Struthio camelus: one gene and its partner. The protein of the gene in region 1 interacts with the protein of each later gene in a pairwise test. Links are inferred from orthologs where the notes say so. Each region holds a gene or a part of one and is shown in the gene's direction. Other genes may lie near its edges.

Region 1 (7,477 bases):
AATTTAAGATCTTTCTTGAAAGCATCTGACAGGAAGCTTCACATGAATGATCAGCACGGCTTCCAGACTGCGTTTTATGAGTAGGAATGAAACCCAAGTCACCTGCAAACTGGACTCATCAGCCCTAGGGTCCCGATGCTGCAAGGTGATTATCCCTAGGTGCTTCATCGCAGACACTCAGGCCCGGTAAGGACAGTTTCTGCTGGCTGCACTGCCTGGGATCCCAAATTAGGGGTGACAGCAGCATCTGTGGGGGCTGCAGCCAGAAAAATGGATCCCATTGGAGAGCGCTGTGCTGGCACTGCCAATGCGTCTCGGCCCTGGAGAGCGCTGAAGGTGACACCTGGGCTATAGATACAGGACAATGCTTAAACATGACAAGCCTCAAGGCAAAGCAGGTTCAAGTCTGAAGATTTTGGAAGGGGCAAACCAGCTCCCACCCATGCTGCTGATAGGCCTCCTAGAAACAAAGGGAGAGCCCTGCTCCACTTTCCCAAGAAACATTGGGAAGACGTGGAAACCAGTAAACAAAAAAAAGCCAGACAGCAGGATTTTCAGGTCTAGCTGCATGCTTAGAGAAAGGAATCCACTGACTCCAGATTCTTGTGCTCCCTTTGCTCCGCAGATAACAGGATTCCCAGTCCCCGCAAGCCAGAAACGCACCATGCAGGTGTTTTCTTTGCATGCCCAATGGGAAACCCAGCCTGGCAGAGAAAGTGAAACAGTCCCTGGCCTGTATTACGGCAAGTTCAGTTAAAGATGGAACTATAAAAAATAGAAACAGATCAAAGTGGAGCTTGCAGCCTATTATTAAAGTAAGCTGAGACGATATAAGCTTAGAGTAACTCCATATCATAGGAGAATCCTGTCTAATGGAGATGGGTACACGTCTCCCTTCGCCCAGTTTCCAACAGCCTGCGCGCCATAGATGGGGCTCACATCACCGCGGTGCCCTGCCTCGGGGACCCATCCGTGCAGCGCACGCCACAGCCACCAGCTGCACCCTGCCCCGCTTTGGGGACTCCCCTGGCCTGGGGCTCCCCCGGAGCTCTTGGAAAGGTACCCGCTGCGGGCGCCTGACCACAGCTCCCAGCACAGTTTCATAGAGCAGGTGCACTGCAGGTGTTTGGCCACCGGCAGCGCGAAGAATATATTTATAGCATAAAGCATTTGTGATAATCTTTTTCTTTTTTCTTTTTTCTTTTTTCTTTTTTTTGATGACAAGACTGAAAGCTCATTAAGGCTATTGTAACAGAGGTTATTACATATGTAATAGAAGACATCCATTATTGTGCTTACATGGTTGCAGCAATTGTGCATAATTTAGTTTTCAAACTTTCATCATTTGGCTGCTAGGACAAATGTATTTGTCTGATGATATTTTCCCGGGGAAGAAACTGATAATGTAGTTTATAGGGCTTGATGATTTGCTCGTGTATCTGGGATTCCTCTGGGCTTAGAGATAGAATTAGATGGCTCACCAAATGCTTTACAGAATCTATCTCAATTCACTCCGCTCCACTGAGTTTTGTGTCTTTTGAATTGATCTTGCCTCATTTCTTCCTTGTTTATGTACCTTGGTGCTCCAAGTCGGGGGTAGAGGAGGAGCGCCGGAGGCTAGAAAAGCCATCTCTGTCCCCGATCACTCCTCGGGTGCCAAGGGGAGCAGAGAGCACAGATCCCAGCCCCTCGCTGGTGAGACGCAGTTCTTTCGTGATAGCAGAAGTGAGGCCCAGTCTGAAGCAGAGCCCAAGTTGATAAATTAGCCAGGGCTGATAAGATAATGCCCTGTGCCAGCAAAAGTTGAGGAAGTACTGGCAGGAAAGGCTTAGGTCAAGGAGCGCGTGGGCAAGGCCATGGCTGAGGTTCATGGAGCAGAGGTGAGGAAGTGAGCGCAGGGGAGCCAAGGTGGTAGAAGAGCAGTCGCTGGCATGGGAAGATCTGCGCCGGGGGTAGGCAGAATTAACACGTATCAGAATGCCCTGCTCACACGCATGGCCCTTTAGTGAATGGTTGGGACTGGATCGGACAATAATACAAAGCCAGCAGAGCGGTGGATGGACAGAGCTACACCGCTCTCCAATCTGAAAGAAACCGAGGCATGTTATTCCTGCATTGCGATATTTGCAAGACTTACGAGACTCCCAGGCGCTATCAGCATCCAGTCTACTCCCCATGTTCCCTCTGTGGTACCTCTGCGGAGCTCAGACTAACTCACTGACTCACTGCAACCTCTCTCCCAGTAGGGCACATCAGAGGCATTTGGCAAAGTACTGTCCCTTTAAAAATGTGAATTTGTCCAGAAACTATTATGCGGTATAAACACAGAAAAATCAACAGGGTGAATTTCGAACTAATAAAGATTTAATCTCAAAGTCATGAGACTGCCTTTGTTAGGAAAATATACATACCCCTGAGAATCCAGCTACAGTTGCTATATTACACACTGTTCAGCACTCACTGGGCATTTTTCCAAATCCGTTTATTTTTAACATCAGTCACATTATTCAATTAATTATAAAAACACTGAGGTTTTCAAGAGATGTTTCTGATAAAACTGCACAGTACATATGCGTGAGAACAGCAGGGATTAAAATCTCTGTAAACTTTAGCATTCAGGCCTGTTGCTATAAACGACGAGAAAAGTCCTCCAAGGAGGTTATTTATCAGAGTGAATCATACCAGATAACAACAAGGCCTCCTCCCACATCACAAACAGACGATCGTGTGTCCTTTATCTAGTGATGGAAGCAAAAGATCGACGTGTCTGTCACAGTGCTCAGGGTGCAGAATGAGAAGCATAAGGGACCGGGCTGGATTCTTTACATGCTTCCAATAGTCAACCTTCCCAGTTTGACAAATATTAAGTATTTAGCAGACTGAGTTCTTCCCCAATAAACCAAGAAACAGAAAGCAAAAAACAGCCTAGGTACACCAATGTCTTGTGACCTTGTAAACACTAGATATCAACCGACAGAATGGCTTCAAGCCCTGCCTTTGAAAACAGCCTCTCCAAACTCTGCTGTATGGGAAAACCGACATATCCCACAGCGGTTTCATTGTGCCAATATGGAAGAAATGTATTCCCAGCCCTCAGTCTGCGTATCTGTTTATTCTAGCGAGCAAGAATTGTCCTAACAAAGCGTTTGGTCTAATCCAACTTTTAACTTTTAGCCAAGTCAACTTCTGAGTGGTTTTCCTACAATTTTCCTGAAAGGTTCACATTGTGGTAGAATTACTTGAAAGCTCTGATATTGTCTGCATTGATGGCAAAGATTAAAGGCATAGGATCTGGGCATCAAAGCTCAGCAAATAGAGCCATACTCCCAGGCTTTCATCCAAGCTTTGCCAGACATGCAACTCAACCTTGGGAAAAGTCCCTCCACTACGAGCTTCAACTTCTTCTCTGTAACAGCTTTGCTTCAGGAAGACTCCTAGGCACATCCCTAACTTCAAAATAGGCAAATCACGTTGACGAGTGGTAAGCGCCTTTGGAAGGAGAGACGTTTGGTGCTGCTCGCCCTGAAACAATGGAATCCTGCCTGACCAGGGACGCCAGCCGCAAGCGCAGCACGAGGCGGCAGTACCTAGTAACAGGAGGGAGCCATTTTGATGGAGAGATGTATTTAACTGGTTGCCACATCTCACCCACAGAAGGTGAAACTCCTCCAGCTCCCGGCGCTGCCCGGCAGGAGTTTGCTGTGCAGGGCCACAGCCCCTCTCCCGCTCCGGCATAACCAGGCCGGAGGCTGCCGGCGAGGCTGCCGTGCTGGTAAAGGAGCCTGCATGGTTTGGGGCAAAACCATGGGAAAACGTGTGGCTGGGGAAAGCGCTGGGGCGCGGAGGAGGCAAGAGGTCCTCGCGAGACGCTCTGGCTGGCCAGGGGCAGCGCTGCAGGGGGGCGCGGAACCCGCGTCCCTCAGGGCTGCCTCCTCCGTCAGCGGCGGCGGGAGGCCTCGGCTCCCCTCAGCGCGGCCCCGCGCCCCCGAGGGCCGAGGCCTGCCATCCCCGCAGCGAGCCCCCGGAGCCCCACAGCCCGGGCAGCCACCCGGCCGGGGAAGCGGCCACGGGCCGCGGTCCCGCCGGCTGCGCCGTAGCCCCCTGCCCCGCTGAGGCGACCCCCGGGCCGCCGCTGCTGCGCCCCCCGCTTCCCGCCCACGGCCGAGCGAGGGGGCGGGCCTTCCCCAAACCGACAGCCTCTTCCTCCCATCCCTGCGCGCCCTTCCCCGCCCCGTGCCAGAGCAACCAATCAAAGCCCCGCTCCCCCGGCCCGCCTCCTTGCTGCTGTCCAATCGGGTGGCGCCGCTCTCGTGCTCCCGTCCCCTCCTCCCTGGGGAGGAAGGCGGTGGAGGGGGGTTACGTAGTGTCGGGTCGGTATTCCCGAAGCGCGGTGGTGGCTTTGCTCTGCCTTGTGGCTGCCTGCGGTGTTGGCGTAGCGGCCGCACTTGGCGTAGCGCTGGCAGAGGCGGCCGTGGCGGGGAGCAGCGGTGGCCGCGGCGGCCGTGTGAGGCAAGGGCAGGAGGTGCGAGCGGGCCGGGGGCGGGCAGGGCCCGGCCGGGCCGCGGGTCAGGGAGGGTGCCGGGAAGGGGGCTGAGACTTGGCCGCAGCTCATCTCAGGACTCGGAGACCAGGAGGTGGGCTGAGACCTGGCCACAGCTCGGTGCGTGGACTGGGAGGTGGGCTGAGACCTGGCCGCAGCTCATTGCGTGGACTGGGAGGTGGGCTGAGACCTGGCCGCAGCTCGGTGCGTGGACCGGGAGGTGGGCTGAGACCTGGCTGCAGCTCGGTGCATGGTGCACGGGCTGGGAGGTGGGCTGAGACCTGGCCGCAGCTCGGTGCGTGGACCGGGAGGTGGGCTGAGACCTGGCTGCAGCTCGGTGCATGGTGCACGGGCTGGGAGGTGGGCTGAGACCTGGCTGCAGCTCGGTGCATGGTGCACGGGCTGGGAGGTGGGCTGAGACCTGGCCGCAGCTCGGTGCGTGGACCGGGAGGTGGGCTGAGACCTGGCTGCAGCTCGGTGCATGGTGCACGGGCTGGGAGGTGGGCTGAGACCTGGCCGCAGCTCGGTGCGTGGACCGGGAGGTGGGCTGAGACCTGGCTGCAGCTCGGTGCATGGTGCACGGGCTGGGAGGTGGGCTGAGACCTGGCTGCAGCTTGGTGTATTTTCCATGAGGCCTAGAGGTGGGCTGAGATCTGGTTGCAGTTCAGTGCATGGTTTATGAGGCTGGGAGGTGGGCTGAGACCTCACCAGGTTCAGTACACGGCCCAGAAGTTGGGCTGAGACCTGGCTGCAGACTAATGCGTGCCCTAGGGGTGCCAGGAGACAGGCTGTGACCTCGCCACAGCCTGATGCCTACTCCCGGGGGCCCGGAGGTGGGTTGAGACCTGTCCGCATCTTAGTGCGCGCTCCAGGGGACTGCGAGACAGCCGAGACCTAGCTGCAGCTCGGTGCGTGGGCACGCGGGGCAGGCATGGCTCCTGGAGGGGCTGGCGCTGTGAAGCGGCGAGCAGTCCGCCCCTGTGCCGCCCCGCGGGCAGACCCCTGCGAGCCCCGGTCCGCTCTCTTGGCTTTAACAGCAAATTAAAAAAACGCAGCAGGGAGCAGGAGCTTTGCTCGGGTTAATTCACAGTCTCTTAATTCTTAGTATATGCAGGGGCTGTTTACTGCTCAGTGTTTATAACCTCGTCCTCTTTAGATGCTAATCAGCTTTTGGCTGCGTTTGGCCTCGCAGGCTTAGGTGCTTTGTAAACGTACAGTGAAATGACAGGCGCTGGCCCAAAAACTGAACTGAAGAGAACTGCTTGGTGTAGATCGGATGCAAGGGGGAGGCAGCGTAACTCGGTGGGCCTGGCTATTGGACAGCCCGATGACCTGGTTTGGTTGTTATGCTGGGCAGTCTGGAGCAGGCTGCTTTTTTTTTTTTTTTCCCTTCTTTCCTCTCCGTGCTGGTATCTCCATCTGTAAGATACAGGTGCTAACACTTAGGGCTGGTTAGAAAAACAGAAAAGAAAAAGATTTTGCATTTCTTGAGGTTGCTTTACTTGCTGTTATTAGACTATATGTTAAACTACTCTTGCTCAGTAAATTGCTTCTGAAGATGATGAATGAAAATAATTGTAAAAGAATAGATTTTTAATAACCACTTTGCAAAACAGAGACGACCAGGGTAGGGACAACAGTGAGGCTTCCTCTAGACCAGAAGGGGGAAGAGGGTGTTGGGGCCAGGCTAATTGAGGCCGTATTTCTTAAGGCTGCTATGAGTCTGGACTCAATGTTATCCATCCAAACAGGTTTTAGAGTAGGAGGAGCCTAAGAGTGGCTGGGACTAATTTACTCATTTCCCTCCCAAAGGCTGACCCGAAGACCTGTATGAAGTGATTGCACAAGAAGAGGAGGGAGAAGCTGGCAGCTTTCTGAATGAGCTGCACACAGACCCGAGGCTTCTTCAGAGACCCAAGATGACTTCCTGTGAGACATGCTTTCTGGAGGAATTCTGATGAAGACAGAGCGCTGCAGCCTCTAATTGGGACAGCTCCTGCTGGTCTGGAGCTGAGACTTACTTTTCTCCCTTCTTTTTCCCTTGGAGATGTTGCAGAGATATAACCTGTCTTCTTCCTCCCCACCTGAAGCCTGCCGTGGCAATGATCCCACAGCCAGACCCGACCACCAAAGAGAAGAGGATTGTGCATTTGAAGCTGGGCCGTCATTGTAACTGAACTGGAATTTACTCCCTGCTTACGCTCCTGGAACGACTGCCGGCCGTTCCCCTGTTTGTCCGTGTGTGTTTTGAGCTGCTCCTCCCTAATCTTGTTTGGAATTCCTGGGCTTTCCACGCTGAATCTGCCCATGGCTTTCCTGATGAAGAAAAAGAAATTCAAATTTCAGACAAGCTTCACTCTAGAAGAGCTGACGGCTGTCCCCTTTGTGAATGGGGTTCTGTTCTGCAAAATCAGGCTGCTGGACGGAGGAGACTTTGCTAGCTTATCTAGCAGGTAAGAAGCTAACTTGCTTCCTGGCTCTTCTTCTTTTCCCGGTTTTTCTCTACTTGAATGGTTCGGCATATGGCTACCACTCGCCTGCCCCTTGATGTGTTTTTAATAGTTCTGTTTTAGGGCCCCACATGCCACACCGTCCTCCAGAGGGGAGGAAGAATGTAGCTGGAGAGCTCTGAGCCTGGTTATTGTTGTCTGACCAGAGCTAGATTGAACTTTTCGGAGGCTTGGAGGGTGGGAGGTCGCACCCCCGAAGGAGATTGGAGTTTGTTGATGAAAACGTTCTCTCTCTCTCTCTCTCTCTCTCTCTCTCTCTCTCTCTTTCCCTCCCTCCCTTACCCAAATTTTCACAAGCTATTTTAGACCTTGTGCTGTACTGTTTTCATGCCTAACTTAAACCTTCCTACAGAGCTGAGTTTCATCTGAACTATACGAATGGACACTTCCCAACTTTGCACTCCCCTCTTGCTTCTGAACTACTGTT
Region 2 (7,604 bases), on another chromosome or scaffold:
CTCTGTGGAATGGGTGTCCCAGGGTCAGCGTGTGCCCGCGTGAGCATGCACACATCCTTATCTTATCTAATTACTAGAAGTTTCAGATTAATTTCAGTGCAGCTGCTTGAAAGGGCTGTTATCAGCTGGGGCTTTGTGGTTTAACCTTGTTACCCTTTTGTTGTTAACCTTTCCCAATGGCAGAGGGGAAGGCTGCGATGCTGATGCGCTGGAGGAGCTGGGAGGGAGCAGACGAGAACTCGAGAGCCTGCACCCCCTGGTTTTGTGCATTCAGCACCTATTCAGCCTGTGTGACAGCACAGCTGGCTGCTTACCTCTGCTGACAGGCGCTGGTACCCAGCCACACAGAACAGTCCGTAACAGGGACACATCTCCTGCCAACCTCTCCAGATCCTTTGATATTTCCGACAGAGCAGTAAAGGACTCTGACTCTCACATTTTACCTTGCATCGCTCAGCTCTTCTAAGGCTGCCCTGCTTTGTTTCCATAGCTACACCCAATCGCATCTGGCTTCCTGTGAAATTGGATTTCAAAACAAGACAAGCCTTCAAAGGAATTTGTCCATTTAACAGAATAGCATTAGGAGAGAGCCTGTCTGCTGAACTTAGGACCTAAAATGATTAAGGTGGGGCTTTTATCATGTAGGGAGGCAGCTTTACATCCATAGCCCGTAAAACTTGATGCTATATAACAATGACACAGTGGAACTTGTCAGTCCCTGCCAGCCTCCCCCATCTCCTTCCCAGATGACCACTAAACTAAATTTGTAACCTATTCACACATTCAAAAATGAAAGTGGCAAGAAAAAAAGCAGGGAAAAACAGGTCATTAGCCTGGGAATCAGTCTGCCTGGCTCTATCTGCCAGGGCTTGGCTGGGCTACTGCATTGTGCTGGGGTTTCAGGTAATAGCATCTACATCTCCGTGGCAGCTGAGGCTCTGTGCCTCAATGTTTCTCAGTAAAATGGATTTAATAAAAACAATACCTTCTACACAGTCAGCCTTATCTTAACAAAATCTTCATGTAGGGCCTGAGGGAAATATTCTAGGTGCTGAGTCCTGTTCCCAGCTCCCAGGGCCATGGGATAGATGTCTAAAGCACCTATGGTGCAACAGCACCAGCCTCCACACGGTCCTGTACTTTCAGTACCTCATGATGGCCTTAAGAGCTGTAGCAAAAGACCAAAAATCACAACTGCAATGTATCCCAGAAGTACAGCAGAAAAGATCTAGAGCTGTACTAATGGCATAAGTACTGCAAGAGCAGGAAATTTGCTGGGTGAAGTCCTCGTATGCTCTTAAGCAGTGATTACACCCAAAGCTGCAAAGGAAGGCAAACCAAAAGATCCACAAAACAAGTCCCTGCAGTTTGACATGAGGAAAAATTTATTCTAGACCTTAAATATGATAAATTGTTTAGTTCTTGAACAAGACTTAGTGACCAGCTATCTTCTAGTTCACTATTTGCACTGTTTTTTCAAACCGTTACATAAGCAGTTGCTACAGAAAAGCAGAGAGATGTGAGATGATCCTTTTCTTTGCAGTTGCATGAACATTTTTTCCTTTGAGATTTGCATTGATCAGGCTTCATTGATCTTTCTGGCATATCTGAAGGCAGTTTCTTCAGTTTAAGGGACCTAGTTCGTTTCCTTATAAACTCATTTTTAAAGTTAGTCTCAGAAAGCAGCTGCTTTTTATTTTCGGGCTGTAATGAACGGACTAGGAATTTTACACAGAAACATTTAAATATTTACACCTAAACACCTCCAGGTGAGAACACATGCTACCGTTTCTTGCATACAATCAGAACCACTCAAATGTGTTGGGGGCCTTATGCAGCTAACAGAGATTCAAATTTTGTCCCCCTAGGAGACTGTCAATTTTCTCAGTCCTGACCTTACACATAATGGGAAAGACAATAGCTTTCAAGCAAGCCCACCTTCCATGTGAGGCCTTCTGAACTGCAGCAACATTTTCTGTGCTCTAAGGCCCTTGCATCCAGTGCCACTGAGAAGCAATTTCTTGTACATGGAGTCCTCAAATCAAGAATATGCTGCAGCTCTGTTGTCAGGGAGCGTAAGCCTGCCCAGCAGGATACAAGACAAAGGGCGAAGGACAGACACTGAGTGAACTTTACACTCAAAATAGGAAACTTGTAAGGTCTAGGGCGGTAATGTCAGACCTGAAGTCTATCTCCAGGTTATTGTGAAATTACATGCATGTACAGAAAGCAGCCAAGTGACAAATCGGAAGTGGTGGTAGGCTGCTCTCCACAGATCTAGAGAGCAATGAAGTCTCCCTGAGTGTGAGCTAAAGCAAAATGTCTTCTCCTCTTTGTGACTAAACCCCAAATGGGAGCTGCCACTTCAGCTTTACTACTCTGAGAGACTCACTGTGCAGAAAGCAGTGTGCAACACCACTTTTCCCATTGTGTACACTAAACACACTTATGGTCATGGTACCTTCACTTCTCCTTTAAAACCATCCCTTCTTGACAAGTGTGATTTACCATGGTGCTGCTCCCATGCATAAAAGTGCATGTTTCAATTTAAAAGTAATAAAAGTACTTTGCAGCTGCTTTTGGGGTTTTCCCCTTTCACTCTGCTGTCTCCAGTGGAGCCAACACACTAGAACTGCAGGCACACATGCCCCAAACCAAAAAACAAAGCACTGCACTTCATCTTACACCTGTTCTTTATCTGATTTGTACTGATCAACTAAAAGCACAATACAGTCTTTTTCCTTTTTTGCAACCATGTGTCTCAGAAAGTAGGTCACAAATCATGTTACCAGCTTATAGCATACGGTGGAGCATCTATCTGATAAACTTCCATAGCTCCCATACCTGTGCATTTCCCAGTGAAGCTTTTACATCACATCTCCAGGGTAGACCTCAAGCACACATTGTCTTGACTGAACCAAGCAAGAAGCTTGGAGCAAAGCTGGATCCTGTTCCAGGTTTCCTACATTGATGGCTGCCCAATAGCTAAGCCTTATTCCTTCCAGGTGATGCACCTGGAGAGCTGTAAGAATCTGATTCTGCAATTATTTAGAAATACACTCAGCCTCAAAACATGGCATTGTCCCACTGAAGCCAGTGAGACCATAGTGAAGTGTTTGTGTATCCCGGTCTTTGGGGGCTGGGAGCCCAATGCACTCTTTTTTTTCTCTTCCCCCAGAGATTTTGCTTTTCCAGCCTGTGATAACTACTGTGGCAGGCTGGTTTGCCCAGAGCAGCAGGTCAGGAAAGCATCAAGAGAAGCGGTTTTAAGGAGTTTCCTTCTCTGACAGTTCGGAGTGTCCCTACCTCATGACACTATGATACACCTTGGTATACAGTGAGATCCCAGTTTCAGCCCTGCTTCTGCACTATCAGGAGCTTGTATTTTGCCCCTGGCGAAAACAGCAAGCATGAATTTTAGTGAAGCTGTGTGGTTTTGTGCCCGTGGTCAACACAGCCTGATTGCTTTCTTTTTTTGTCATCTCCAACATTTGCTAGGTTAGGAAAATATAATTAAAAAATCATATGTCATGCATAGAATGTCAGAAAAGTAAAAGTGGCAGAAAAACATTATCCATGTACTATAATCATAAATACTTTTTTGATACTACTGAAGGATAGTGGGACACTGTGCAAAGTAAGGACTGGATCATGTACACTTAATCCTTGGGGAATCTCAGGTTAGCCCTTGGAATCATTGGTGAGCTTCAGATAAGGAAGACTGTCTTTGAATTTGTCAGGATTGAGCCTAAAATTTGGGAATGCAAGGACTGAAAACAATTGTGATATCCTCATAGCCTGGTCAGCCTGTGCTAATTCATTTATATAGGAGGGAAGCAGATGTAAGACTGTGGGTTAATCTAATGCAATGCCATTTTTGTTTTGTAGAGTGCGGTTTGCATTTATTGCCTATCATAAAGCAAGTTAAAGTGTGCAACCTTGCTCTTCTGCCGGGCAAGATGTAGAAATATGAATGGTCATTACAATCTAGCTCCCTTCCTAAGCAGGATGCAGGAAGAGGGGAAGTTTTATTGCAGATGAGCCAAGTACCGCTCTCTTCCCCTGCACATTAGAGGAAGGAGCATGCCTTTGCCTGGACCAGATCCAACCCCCAGCTCATCTTGTGCTAGGAACAGGCACTGGAAGTTAAATATATGGCCACACATACTCACCGAGCTCATGGGTCTCCTCTACCAGCAGGTGTACAGAATTATGTGATAATGAAGGAGAAACATGCCTAAGTGCCACCTGATTTAAATGCTAATGCAGGGAGCATTGTTTCAGCTGTGTTGCTCTGGGGGCTGGTATCAGGCACATCTGCAGGTTGTTGGCTAGAGCCCAGTGGCCCGGGGGGAATACCGAGGTGTTGGTCCTGGTGCGTCCTGGGCACTTTGGCACCTTGTTCCTCCCTGCAAGGCCGCGGCAAGGGGGCTGGGGCCGCTGCCGGAGGAGGCAGCCGAGCCCCGGTTCCTCCTACCTTCCCCGGGGCATCCCCGCCTCCCCGCTTCCTCCTGCACTCAGCCCTGCCTGGGGACAGGGACGTGAGCAGGAGCGGCAGGTTTGACTCCTGTGGAGAGAAGGTGGCAGTAGCATGATCCCAGAGGAGATTCAGAGACTCCTTGAAGGTAACCACAGCTTCCTTCTTGCTCCCCCTCTGCCTAACTGGGAAAAGCTACAGTTGCAGGGGAAGAGGCTCAAGGACTATTTGGATGTGGCTGTGCTGAGCCAGAGAGGGGAGTAGGAGGGGGGGAACTATGGAGGCTGAAGCTGTGGTGTCTGGGTGCTCAGGTTATGTATGTCTTCTGCACCCCTAACTGTAGGGAGCAGAGCTGCCTGTTCTGGCACTCTTGAGAGTGTCCTTGTGTTGCCCCTGGTGGGTAAGGTGGGTCTGTGGTGACGTTCTGTGATTTGGGATGGGGAAGCTCTCTGGTGATCCCGAAGCCTGTGTGTCAGGGGAGAAAAGTGTGTGAGAGACCTTGGGGGGGGGGCAGGGGTATGGTCAGAAGCTGTCTCTACTGGGGGCTCTCAGGTAAGGCATTGAGTGACTCCACTGGTCAGTGCCCTTGCAGTGGGACAGGGGAGCTGGTACAAAGGGTGGAAGAAGCTTGTGTGCTATAGTGAACCCTCTAAGCAAACTTTGTTGTGGCTCTGACAGAGGTGTCTCTTGGCCTTAGATGTTGTGTTAAATGTGTTGTGCCACGCTAGAGGATGCAGTGAGCAAGCTGGCCCTATGGGGATAAATCCTCAGGGAAGCTTCAATGCCAGTGAAATGGGGGTGTAGAGCTGGTTTTGAGCCCAGCTTCTGCTTGATAATGTGATCTGCTGAGGTCTCAGCATCTCAGTGACTGAACTACACTTACAGTTGACAGCATTTACTTCTGTATGTCTAAGATGGCATATGTGAGGCTTTTGAAATTGATTTTCCTGGGTTTCTTAGCAAACTTGAATTCTTGCACTTCTTGTTAAGATGGTGGGTCAGCCAAGCAGAAACAATGCCAGACTCCTCTGTATGGAATTAGTTCATGTTGTGAAGCACACTTTCAAGGACTTTGTGGCTATTGCTGTCCCCATCACCATGGTATGGTACAGCAGGCAAAGGCTTGGTGAGAGAATTGCCACGTGCAGGTGACTGTATTAGTCCCAGAGAGGGTATAAGTTACTCCTGTGAGTTCAGCCTAGTGCACGTTATCCCTGACTCTCACTGTCGGCCCTTCAGGGGATGCTACGAACCTGGGACTTCAAGGCTGTTTTTGTTTTAGGAGTCTGGCTTGTGTTTTATTTAGTTTCTTAAACAGTCAAGTTAAAAGCTGTTGGAGCTCTGAGTTCCCTTTCTGCTGTGACTGAATGATCACTTGGTGTGTCCTTGCGGGAAGAATTCACACAAACAAAAAGGGAAGTTGCTTGCAGAGTTGGTAGTTTTACTCTACAGTACTGTTTTCCTCTCCACGCTCAAGTCTGTTCATGTGATGACTTCCTCCTCTGCTAATTCTCTCTAACCTCACCATAAATAAAATGTGATAGCAGTGTTGCAGGCTAGCACAGTGGTGTTAGCCCTTTGCTGAGCAGCCCATGCTGCTGACACATCCTGCTACCTCAGGTGTGGGTGGTGGGGAAAGAGTTGTTGGCAGGTTGCTGCTTGCCACTCGGAGTGGTTGTGTTTGAGCCTGGCCCAGCCAGCCTTGAGGTTTGGTGACCTCTCATTTCCTGTCGAGATGGCTTCTGACAGCTTGGAGCAGTAGCCCCTTTCACGCTGAGCCTTGGGATAACTTCCAGTCCTGGAATCTCTCAGTTTGAGAGAGAGTGCAGCCTCCAAGCCCATCAAAGCTCACTTCCAAATGCTTTGTGTCTTCCCCCAGATGTAGGTGTAAATTTTCTCCTGTGTTTTTTAATCGTGGGGGCTTCAGTGAAGTTCACCCTTTCACATTTTTGATGTGCAGCACTTTATTGTTTCAGTGCTGACACTTTTGTAAACAACTCATTTTTGCACCTGCCACCTTCCTTTAACTTAGATTATTTTCTTGTTAACTGACTGTTTTTAATTGAAGGTTTCAGATCTCCTTCTAAAGCACAGCCTTTGTTTGCTGACAAGTATAGCAGGCTATGAATGGAGATTAATTGTGTGTCACATCTCTGTATCAAACTTGCTGTGTCTTAACAATTTGTACAGTCTTGAGGCCTTCCAGAGGCTAAGGAGTTTTCTAGCTATGGTGACTAGAAATGAAGGGGCTTAAGCTATTTCTGTGGTTGCCAACTACATTATCATAGGAATTCTTTTACTTAGAATAATCACAAATGGGAGTAAGCCTGTACTGATGTACAGGCAATAACATTTGTTTCCACATATTAAAGTTTGGCCCATACTACAGGACTGTACACAAGAGGCACAGGAACAGCAAGTGAAGGGCTTCCTAGTAACAGTTGTGTCATCACTAGTGACATCTCTGAGGCTGCAGCAGTTGAAAACCAATGCACTCTGCATATTGCCTCTATATAGCAATCCTGCAATGCTTATGAATAGGTAGCTGATGTGTCTTAGATGTGACTAAGCCACGTTGTATTACTTTAAGCTTCATGTTGCAAATAGGTGAACCAGTTTCTCATTAAAGCTATGTAGTAAATTAATTGCACAGGGTTTCACTTTTGGTTCAAACAGGTTCCTTTTAAAAGTACTTTGGCTAAGGGTGTTTTGTGTGTGTTTAGCGCAGATTTCTTCTGAAGGCTGAAACAATGTTTCTCAAAAAACAAAAACCCTGATAAAAATAGGGTTTCTGTTATCCTTTTGCAGAAGCAAAAGCAGTCTGGCAATGTGATTGCTTTGCCTTAGCCTGCTCTGCCTGATCCCCTTCAAGCCAGCTGGTGGGTCTGGAAAGTTGTTTTCTTGCTGGAGCTTGGGCAGTGGAGAGGTCAGAGCAGGTGCTGCACTGGAAGACTGGTTGCACCTGTGAAGCACAACAAAGCTGGCAGTTGCTAATTTCAAGACAAGCAGCCTTAATGCTGTTTTAAAAACAACAAAATGCTCTGTTTTGTAAAAGTGGGTAAGCTATAGTCAACCCTGGAATAGCTTGGCTAGTCTCTCCAGAGTGTAAAATACTAAAGAAGTCAGA

Evidence for each region.
Region 2: the proteins of EEIG1 (region 1) and SKAP1 interact in binary tests that used the Homo sapiens proteins (3 or more experiments, as listed by UniProt). The two-hybrid records come from large-scale screens. The link is inferred for Struthio camelus from reciprocal best matches to the Homo sapiens genes EEIG1 and SKAP1.

Annotation. Positions count from the first base shown.
Region 1 is NC_090961.1:7,770,674-7,778,150, reverse strand, and holds the start of EEIG1 (early estrogen-induced gene 1 protein), read left to right. Parts: upstream 1-4,340; 5' UTR 4,341-4,522; intron 4,523-4,533; exon of another isoform or gene 4,534-4,660; intron 4,661-5,089; exon of another isoform or gene 5,090-5,108; intron 5,109-5,750; exon of another isoform or gene 5,751-5,842; intron 5,843-6,352; 5' UTR 6,353-6,847; coding exon 6,848-6,993; intron 6,994-7,477. UniProt on the Homo sapiens protein: Key component of TNFSF11/RANKL- and TNF-induced osteoclastogenesis pathways, thereby mediates bone resorption in pathological bone loss conditions.
Region 2 is NC_090966.1:5,546,879-5,554,482, forward strand, and holds the start of SKAP1 (src kinase-associated phosphoprotein 1), read left to right. Parts: upstream 1-4,498; 5' UTR 4,499-4,591; coding exon 4,592-4,625; intron 4,626-7,604. UniProt on the Homo sapiens protein: Positively regulates T-cell receptor signaling by enhancing the MAP kinase pathway. Required for optimal conjugation between T-cells and antigen-presenting cells by promoting the clustering of integrin ITGAL on the surface of T-cells.